2 linked regions of the Schizosaccharomyces pombe genome follow. The protein of the gene in region 1 binds, or shares a complex with, the protein of each later gene. Each region holds a gene or a part of one and is shown on either strand. Other genes may lie near its edges. The genes, in order: qcr7 and cob. A codon is read from its position in the direction of its gene.

Region 1 (3,870 bases):
CGGAACGTCTACTTGGACTTGCTCAATTTGTGAAGCCACCAACCATATTGATGAGAAAGGTGATATCCTGGATTATCGACCTCCAACCCCAACTCAAGACAAGGGTGTTGGTCCTTTTTACGCGATACGGGATTTCCCAAGCAGTTCTTCCTTTCAGAGCCCCTTTTGTGAAAAATGTCAAATGAACCAACTGATTGTGAATCGGATGCTTGCTGATTATCTGCCAGACTCATCACATCCAGATTATCAGGCTTATGAGAAGGCATTACCAGAGTATAAAAAATCTATAGAAGAGAAATTTCCCATTGTTTGCTCTGAATGCTATGACTCCGTTCAAGACCAACTTGATGCCAATGATTATGAAGCCAAAAATCAGGTTTTAGGATATTGGCTGCAAAAGTCAAAGGAACAGCTAAACGCAAAAGTCCCCCATCACTATCCAAAAGCTTCTTTTGTTCTTTGGTTACTTCGTGGATTTGGTTTTTCGTTTTTCTATTTGCAATCGATTGTGTGGCATTTGTATCATTCTATGATAATAAGCTTATTACCAGATGGTATTCGTAATTTATTTCTAAAAGCAATCTCTTACTTCCTATTAGATGGATCCTCTAGCAAAATTTTTTACTTTAATTGGCTTGGTTTTTTCGTTGTCTTTTGGAACCCGTATTGGTACAAAATGATGGACAATCCATCTTGGGAGCTTTTTGGGCGGGATCAGTATATCCAATGTCAGGCACTTTATCTTATTATCCGTTTAACTTGCTTGTATCTCCTTTCATGTTATGAGTCGGAAATTTTGAACTTAAGCTCGGATACCAATCTTGAAAGTGATTTTTTACTCCGTCAAATACATGCAGCCTTTTTCTTTGTTACCATTTGTTTTACATGGATTAGCATCTCATGTTTAAAGCCAAGTCCTCCTCCAGAAGTTCATTTGACTGGCGAAATTTTGAAACCACGCAAGAAGCGTCAGGAAAGTACATCTTCTGTGCATCGGATAGGAAAGGAATCGAGTGACAGAAAAGATGGAATTAGTGGGCAGAATAAATTGCAGCAATTTGCGACAATTTCAATTCTGAATAATACCAACGCAACGTCTCATTTGGGAAATCAGTCTGTTCGTGAGAGAGCTCCGGAGGAATCCCCTATGACTTTTCTTCAAAAAAAAATGGCCGCCCTTCCAACATCTAGTCCTGTTCGACCGATGCTTAAACCTACTCTTCAGCTTCAAAATTCTCCTTTATCGAAACTGGTTCCTCAAGAAGTGGGCAACAAAGTAAACGATTCTATTCATACGACGTCTAATCAGCCAAGTAAATTTTCCCTGAACCCTTCCATATCTCTAAAAGGTGATAACGTGATAGAGAAGAATTTACCTTTTTCCGTGTCTACTTTAAAGTCCACTGCAAAGAAAGATACTGGTAAAGCAGGGGATGGTCAAAATCGCGAAATTCAAAATGAGCCAGTGAGCCTTGAAAGTCATTTTAGTAAGTCTTTAGCCCTTCAGAACGATCCAACAGAAGTTATTCAGGTGAAAAACGTTCTTCACCGGAATCGTCGAAATGCAAAGCTTCTCATTGCTTTCACAATTTTGTTCCTCGTTGGGTTAATTTGCGGATGGCGTTTGAATCGTTTTACTATGTTCATTTACTATTTATGCATATTGGTGTTAGCCACATATTATGTTATGAAACACAACTTTTATCCTTTAAGAAAGGTGGCTTGATCTGGTTACTATTTAAAGAAGTGGATGCAAAGTAATATGGAATATATTCTTTTGCAAACCAATCATTCATTAATTTATCCAATTTTGGAATAAATTTCGTTACTAATATTGCCAGAGGCGGTTATGTCGCTATCATTTGTTTAAAGTTTTTCAGCTCCTTTCTGGCAACTCGACATATTCGAGCTAGCGCATTCGCACAAATGGGATCCAATATAAATTTACTTTTTTTTTCCTATTAAAGCTATATAATTAAGTATTTTTCATACTAACGAGTTTTATTTGATAAATTTCATTCGTTTCAATAGGTTAGTACTGAAAGAGAACATGTAACCTGAGCAAACTTCTGGTTCATACGAATACTAGCAATGGTGCATTCCCGAATATATGTTAGACACGTCGTTAAATTAGTTTAGGTTATAAAATCGTTAGAGTTAAACAATAACTTAAGAGAAATGAGCCGAGAATACTAGGATATTCAGATTTTCATTACTTTCTAATTCCGCTCAGGATTCTATGTGCAGGTAACATCAGGTGACCGAAGGATTCATTGGCATACTATAGGGCCATGAGATCTTACCTTCTTCCAATATTCAAAACTAAGAGTTTTATTGATTTCAGTGCAAATTTTGTAGTGACGAAATTTTTTTTTGCTGAAGTGATTGTTTAAGTATGAAACCTGTGTCTCTTGCCAAGTATATTCAAAAATCACCATTTTTGACGAAATTGCTTTTACCCATCTCCAATGCCTATGTGCATTTGTCAGGATACCGTAAATATGGTCTTCGATACGACGATTTGATGTTGGAGGAGAATGACGATACTCAAAAGGCGTTATCTCGTTTGCCTAAGATGGAATCCTACGATCGAGTCTATCGTATTCGCCGTGCCATGCAACTTAGCATTGAGAATAAAATTTTGCCAAAATCTGAATGGACAAAGCCTGAGGAGGATTACCATTACCTCAGACCTGTTTTAGCTGAGGTTATCGCGGAGAGGAAAGAGCGTGAGGCCTTCGACGCTCTCATTGTTAAGAAACCCGAGACTCAAGCCCATGCAACATCTTCTCCTGCTCATGCTCATTAAAAGTTTGCATGTCCTCCTTTAATCCACTTATTCCTCTCATGAAAACCGACAAGAAAATTAAAAGAGTAGTAAACGGATGTGAGAATTTTATTTTCTAAGTAACCCCCAACTCCAATTTCTAAAAAGGAAGACAATTTATGCACGTATCTTATTTCATCGGTTATATCAGTCGACAAAGTACGTGGAAACGAAAGTTTTTATATTGCTGTTTATCTGTACTTTGACTTTACTATGTGTGCGATTAATTTTCTACGCCGCTCTGTTTTTGCTTTGCTCTATTTTAACTACTGGTATATCTCCCATCTCTTTGACCTCTCCTCTCTATGCTTTCAGTTTTCATATTTTAATTGAACAACGATTTTTTCTTATTTTTTATTTTTTGTAGCTGCTTTTTCCTTGACTGTTATCTTTGAAAGAGAAACAATTTTTTTGTTTCTTAGTTTCGCTTTCTGAAGATGATTTTGCAATTATTCTCTCGCTGAATCAATTATAGCTAATGGTTGGTATAACATAAGTTAGTGAACAAAACATTGTAAGGCAAACCAACTAATGTAGTATTTTTTTTAAATCGTGATATCAAATTTTAAACTTGTTAAACAGACAAACTTATTTTGAGAAATTTTATGACAGTTTGGCATTGTATTTATTGATTTAATTAAGCTTACTCCTATTTGACTTTAGGCATACTCTTCCTTGTACGACTTCAAGCTCATGAGCTTTTCACTATCTGAAATGTTGTACCCAGAGTCATAATATATGAACCTCCGATCGACGTAAAGTATTATTGAATTTAATTTTATTTATTTCCGCGTTTGTTTAACTTGTTTGAGGAACTTGAAAAATTACAAGAAAATCATGTACAATTTTGTTCGAAATATTTATTGAATATGCAGGGGAAAATCAATTATAAAGACATTACTCAGAAAGAAATGTTCAATGAAATATTTAAAGAATATGTTAAGGAAGAGAAGCAGATCGATTTGGGTACTTGTGATCAAGATTCTGTACACGACCTCTGGCGACGCTTTGTAAAAAGATGGAATGATGGAAAAATGAAAAGT
Region 2 (6,023 bases), on another chromosome or scaffold:
AATGTTTGGATTAATGTACAATGAAACTCTAGCTTCAATCCAATTCTGGATTTTATTCATAGGTGTTAATATTGTATTCGGTCCTCAACATTTCTTAGGATTAAATGGTATGCCTAGAAGAATACCAGATTATCCAGATGCATTTGTGGGATGGAATTTTGTATCAAGTATTGGTTCAGTAATTTCTATTCTTTCATTATTCCTATTTATGTATGTTATGTATGATCAATTTACATCAAATAGAGTGGTTAAAACAAATCCTTATTTAATCCCTAGCTATTTTGATGATAATGTAATCTTCGTAAATGAAAAATTAGGGGTAGCTCAATCAATAGAATGGTTACTACATTCACCAGTACACGAACACGCATTTAATACATTACCTACAAAAAGTATTTAATTTAAAATCTTAACCCCCCTTTTATTTTATAAACTTTATTCCAATTTAAAAATTGGAGAGGGAGATTGAAGGATAATTTAGCTATCCTATTCAAAATTGTATCTTTATAATTTTTTTATTCCTTATATGTGAGAGAACACTATTGAGATAAACTAATTTAGCTTAAACATGAATCTTTCTACTAAATTTCAAGGACATCCTTATCATATTGTAAGTGCGTCACCTTGGCCATTTTTCTTATCTGTAGTATTATTCTTTAACTGTTTAGCAGCTACATTATATTTACATGGATACAAACATTCATCAGTATTCTTTGGAATCAGTTTCTTAGGTTTATTAGCAACTATGTATTTATGGTTTAGAGATATGTCAACTGAAGCTAATATTCATGGTGCACATACAAAAGCAGTAACAAAAGGATTAAAAATAGGATTTATGTTATTCCTAATTTCTGAAACTTTCTTATTTGCTTCTATTTTCTGGGCTTTCTTCCATAGTTCATTATCACCTACTTTTGAATTAGGTGCAGTATGGCCACCAGTAGGAATAGCAGATAAAACAATAGATCCATTAGAAGTCCCTCTATTAAATACAGTAATTTTATTAACTTCTGGTGCTAGTTTAACTTATGCTCATTATTCATTAATTGCTAGAAATAGAGAAAATGCTTTAAAAGGTTTATATATGACTATCGCTTTATCATTCTTATTCTTAGGAGGTCAAGCTTATGAATACTGGAATGCTCCATTCACTATTTCAGATTCTGTTTATGGTGCTAGTTTCTATTTTGCTACTGGTCTTCATGGTATTCATATTATTGTTGGTACAATTCTACTTCTTGTTGCTACTTATAATATTTATACTTACCACTTAACTAATACTCATCATAATGGATTTGAATGTGGTATTTATTATTGGCATTTCTGTGATGTTGTTTGGTTATTCCTTTATTTAACTATTTATATTTGGGGTAGCTAAGGCTTACTTCAATTTTTCCCCCCTTTTTATATCTTATTTCTCTAAAATAGTCTGTATAGCTCAATGGTAGAGCATCTCACTTCTAATGAGTCGATCTAAGTTCGATTCTTAGTACAGATTCCACACCTAGAAGGTGTGTATTTTTTTTTTAGCTAATTTAACTCAATTGGTAGAGTGCGTACCTTGTAAGTACGAAGTTAGAGGTTCAATTCCTCTAATTAGCAATCCCTTTCCCATATTTTTGGTATAAGAGGATCTCAGATAGTATCTAACCTATCTTATCTTTTATTATCCAATATCCTTTTAATAAGATTTGGATCTTTTTTCCCAATTCCTTCAAATTTTTGACTATTTATCGATAATGATTGTTCAATTTAGAAGGGATAATTTCAAATTTAATTTTTATGAAAATTTTAAAATCTAATCCTTTTTTAGCTTTGGCTAATAATTATATGATTGATGCTCCTGAACCTTCAAATATTTCATACTTCTGGAATTTTGGTTCTCTTTTAGCTTGTGTATTAGTTATTCAAATTGTAACTGGTATACTTTTAGCTTGTTTTTATATTCCTAATATGGATTTAGCTTTCCTTTCAGTTGAAAGAATTGTTAGAGATGTAAATTATGGTTTCTTATTAAGAGCTTTCCATGCAAATGGTGCTAGTTTCTTCTTTATCTTCTTATACTTACACATAGGTAGAGGTTTATATTATGGTTCTTATAAATATCCAAGAACAATGACATGGAATATTGGTGTTATTATCTTCTTATTAACTATTATTACTGCCTTTTTAGGTTACTGTTTACCAGCTAATCAAATGTCATTCTGGGGTGCAACTGTTATTACTAATTTATTATCAGCTGTTCCTTTCATTGGTGATGATTTAGTTCATCTATTATGGGGTGGATTTAGTGTATCTAATCCTACTTTAAATAGATTCTTCTCACTTCACTATTTAATGCCTTTTGTTATTGCTGCTTTATCAGTAATGCATTTAATTGCTCTACATACTAATGGTTCATCAAATCCATTAGGTGTAACAGCTAATATGGACAGAATCCCAATGAACCCGTATTATCTGATAAAATTGCGCCGTTGTGGTATATATGTGTACCCTCATAGAGAAAGGGATATCTTGTGTGTAAAGATATGAACAATACACTTAGGTAGCTGGGGAAACCCAATGCCGAACAGAGCATGTGTACAGAAGGTCCTTCCTGTAACGAAACAGATAAGTTCAGATGGATCAGTTCAAATAGATACGGTTAGAGCTGTATTGCCCGAATTCCAATTCCCATCTCACCCTCAGATAGGTGATTGTCTTAGCTGAATAGAGACATTCTTCTCTAGATCTTTGGTTGGCTTTTATGACCAAGGATACACACCAGGAGAAGAGAGTTGTACCAATAGTACAATTAAGGGAATGAGTGGAAAACCTACGTCTATCAACTCAAACATATATACAACTACGGGTCCCGCTAAGGTCAGTAATGACTATGCGGTCAGAGATCCTGGAGTAGCTGTTGATCATTTTGATCAATACGGTCCTTTGAAAGAGGGAAGAAGTTTGAACTCTGCAAAGATTTCAACACAGTGAAGTGGATCAGCTACATTAAAGTCTTCCAATAGATCAATATTTAATATTGGTTTAGGATACATTAATACTTTTTTAGGGGTATCTAATGTAAGAGGATTTAGTACAGGATCAGGACGATCAAAAAATGTACTAAATAAACTAGACGATTTATCTAAACGATCAAAAAATTATCCTAATCTTGTAATTGATAGAAATCTCTACAAAGATTTCCTATTAAATCGAGATATGTTCCTTATTGCTTATAATAAATTAAAATCTAATCCTGGTATGATGACTCCTGGTCTTAAACCGGATACTTTAGATGGAATGTCTATAGATGTTATTGATAAAATTATCCAAAGCCTTAAATCTGAAGAATTTAACTTCACTCCTGGTAGACGTATCTTAATTGATAAAGCCAGTGGTGGAAAAAGACCATTAACAATTGGTAGTCCTCGAGACAAATTAGTTCAAGAAATTCTTAGAATAGTCCTTGAGGCTATCTATGAACCATTATTTAATACTGCTTCTCATGGATTTAGACCAGGTCGAAGTTGTCATTCTGCTCTTAGATCTATTTTCACTAATTTTAAAGGTTGTACTTGGTGGATTGAAGGAGATATTAAAGCTTGTTTTGATTCTATCCCTCATGATAAATTAATTGCTCTATTATCTTCTAAAATTAAAGATCAACGATTTATTCAATTAATTCGTAAAGCTTTAAATGCTGGATATCTAACTGAAAATAGATATAAATACGATATTGTTGGAACTCCTCAAGGTTCTATAGTTAGTCCTATCTTAGCAAATATCTACCTTCATCAATTGGATGAATTTATTGAAAACCTAAAATCAGAATTTGATTACAAAGGTCCAATAGCTCGTAAAAGAACTTCTGAATCTAGACATCTTCATTATCTAATGGCAAAAGCCAAAAGAGAAAATGCTGATTCAAAAACAATTAGAAAAATAGCGATTGAAATGCGTAATGTTCCTAATAAGATACATGGTATTCAATCTAATAAACTAATGTATGTTCGATACGCTGATGATTGGATAGTTGCAGTTAATGGAAGTTATACTCAAACTAAAGAGATTTTAGCTAAAATTACCTGTTTCTGTTCATCAATTGGACTAACAGTATCTCCAACTAAGACTAAAATAACTAATTCATATACGGATAAAATACTTTTCCTTGGTACTAATATTAGCCATTCTAAAAATGTTACCTTTAGTAGACATTTTGGTATACTTCAAAGAAATTCTGGGTTTATTTTACTTTCTGCTCCTATGGATCGAATTGCAAAAAAACTTAGAGAAACTGGACTTATGCTTAATCATAAAGGTAGATCTGTTATTAGATGGTTACCTCTTGATGTACGACAAATTATTGGTTTAGCGAATTCTATTATTAGAGGTTACGATAATTATTATTCTTTTGTTCATAATAGAGGAAGATTTGCTACTTACGTTTACTTCATAATTAAAGACTGTGTTCTTCGAACATTAGCTCATAAATTATCATTAGGTACTAGAATGAAAGTAATTAAAAAATTTGGTCCTGACCTTTCTATCTATGATTACAACTCTAGAGATGAAAATAATAAACCAAAATTAATTACCCAATTATTTAAACCTTCTTGGAAAGTTAATGTTTGGGGATTTAAATCTGACAAAGTTAAATTGAACATTAGAACACTTTATGCTTCTCACTTATCAATGGCTAACTTAGAAAATCTACAGTGTGCTGCTTGTCAAAGTACTTATAAAGTGGAAATGCATCATGTTAGACAGATGAAAAATCTTAAACCAATCAAAGGTACTTTAGATTACTTAATGGCAAAAGCAAATAGAAAACAAATTCCATTATGTAGATCTTGTCACATGAAACTTCATGCTAATAAGTTAACTCTTAATGAGGATAAAAAAGTTTAGATATCTTAAATGTAGTGGAGAGCCGTATAATTACGAAAGTATCCCGTACGGTTCGGTGACGAGCCGTGTCAACCCTGCAAAGGGAATGCGTCTTAGTTCAATGATTTGATAACAATATTTATCTTCTTAATCGGTATAAATTATATGGCATTCTATAATCCATATGGATTTATGGAACCAGATTGTGCTTTACCAGCGGATCCTCTAAAAACTCCAATGTCTATTGTTCCAGAATGGTATTTATTACCTTTCTATGCTATTTTAAGAGCTATACCTAACTTCCAATTAGGAGTTATAGCAATGTTATTATCAATCTTAGTATTACTATTATTACCATTATTAGATTTCTCAGCTATTAGAGGTAATAGTTTTAACCCATTTGGTAAATTCTTCTTCTGGACATTTGTTGCCGATTTTGTAATTCTTGCATGGATTGGTGGATCACATCCAGAAAACGTCTTTATCACAATTGGTGCTATTGCTACAATCTTCTATTTTAGCTACTTCTTTATTTTAATACCAGTATATACTATATTAGGTAATACATTAATTGATTTAAATTTAAGCTCAATTAAACGATAATCTCTTCCCCCTTTACACTATATAAAAATATCTTATTTAAACAGTATAATATTTAATAAAAAGCTCATCAAAAGGTATGAATAAAAGTTTTTTACATAGATTAGGTAATAAAACATTCTTTGGGTGTTAGTAGTGATTAGAAGAAGTTGATCTTTTAGGGATTTATTTTTATCAGAATTTTTACGGTCAATTTTTATCTAATTAAATGTGAATAAGTTTGCGATTTAATGTAATTGGTTAACATCTCTGACTCATGATCAGTGTATTAAGGTTCAAGTCCTTAGGTCGCACTTTATGCTCTGATAACTTAACGGTTAAAGTGCAGTATTGAAGCTGCTGAGATATTGGTTCGATTCCATTTCAGAGCAAATAAAAGAATCTGTAGCTTAAAGTAAAGTATCGCCTTGTCACGGTGATGGATGCCCACTCGTACTGGGTCAGATTCGTTTAAGCAGATATAAGTCAATTGGCAGACCTTCTGATTTCCACTTAGATTATGTTCGTTCGAATCGGACTATCTGCATTAAATAAGCCTAAATGCTGGAATTTGG

Evidence for each region.
Region 2: the proteins of qcr7 (region 1) and cob are in contact, whole or in part, in a cryo-EM structure (PDB 8Q1B), measured with the Schizosaccharomyces pombe proteins. Residues at the interface, in NP_588364.1 of Schizosaccharomyces pombe: Lys2 (codon at 2,399), Pro3 (codon at 2,402), Val4 (codon at 2,405), Ser5 (codon at 2,408), Leu6 (codon at 2,411), Ala7 (codon at 2,414), Ile10 (codon at 2,423), Gln11 (codon at 2,426), Thr17 (codon at 2,444), Leu20 (codon at 2,453), Leu21 (codon at 2,456), Ile23 (codon at 2,462), Ser24 (codon at 2,465), Asn25 (codon at 2,468), Tyr27 (codon at 2,474), Val28 (codon at 2,477), Leu30 (codon at 2,483), Ser31 (codon at 2,486), Gly32 (codon at 2,489), Tyr33 (codon at 2,492), Arg34 (codon at 2,495), Tyr36 (codon at 2,501), Tyr40 (codon at 2,513), Asp42 (codon at 2,519), Leu43 (codon at 2,522), Met44 (codon at 2,525), Leu45 (codon at 2,528), Glu46 (codon at 2,531), Glu47 (codon at 2,534), Asn48 (codon at 2,537); in YP_011104932.1 of Schizosaccharomyces pombe: Ser24 (codon at 1,852), Asn25 (codon at 1,855), Lys107 (codon at 2,101), Tyr108 (codon at 2,104), Pro109 (codon at 2,107), Leu210 (codon at 2,410), Val212 (codon at 2,416), Thr213 (codon at 2,419), Ala214 (codon at 2,422), Met216 (codon at 2,428), Asp217 (codon at 2,431), Phe310 (codon at 5,236), Ala312 (codon at 5,242), Ile313 (codon at 5,245), Arg314 (codon at 5,248), Ser317 (codon at 5,257), Phe318 (codon at 5,260), Asn319 (codon at 5,263), Pro320 (codon at 5,266), Phe321 (codon at 5,269), Ile372 (codon at 5,422), Gly374 (codon at 5,428), Asn375 (codon at 5,431), Thr376 (codon at 5,434), Leu377 (codon at 5,437), Ile378 (codon at 5,440), Asp379 (codon at 5,443), Leu380 (codon at 5,446), Asn381 (codon at 5,449), Leu382 (codon at 5,452).

What each region holds. Positions count from the first base shown.
Region 1 is NC_003421.2:1,886,481-1,890,350, reverse strand, and holds qcr7 (ubiquinol-cytochrome-c reductase complex subunit 6), read left to right. Parts: upstream 1-2,301; 5' UTR 2,302-2,395; coding exon 2,396-2,809; 3' UTR 2,810-3,356; downstream 3,357-3,870. Other genes in the region: inner nuclear membrane protein Ima1, read left to right, coding at 1-1,726; SPOM_SPCC297.06C (uncharacterized protein), read left to right, coding at 3,697-3,870.
Region 2 is NC_088682.1:8,393-14,415, forward strand, and holds cob (apocytochrome b), read left to right. Parts: upstream 1-1,782; coding exon 1,783-2,466; coding exon of another isoform or gene 2,467-4,890; intron 4,891-4,992; coding exon 4,993-5,472; downstream 5,473-6,023. Other genes in the region: cox1 (cytochrome oxidase subunit 1), read left to right, coding at 1-400; cox3 (cytochrome oxidase subunit 3), read left to right, coding at 569-1,378.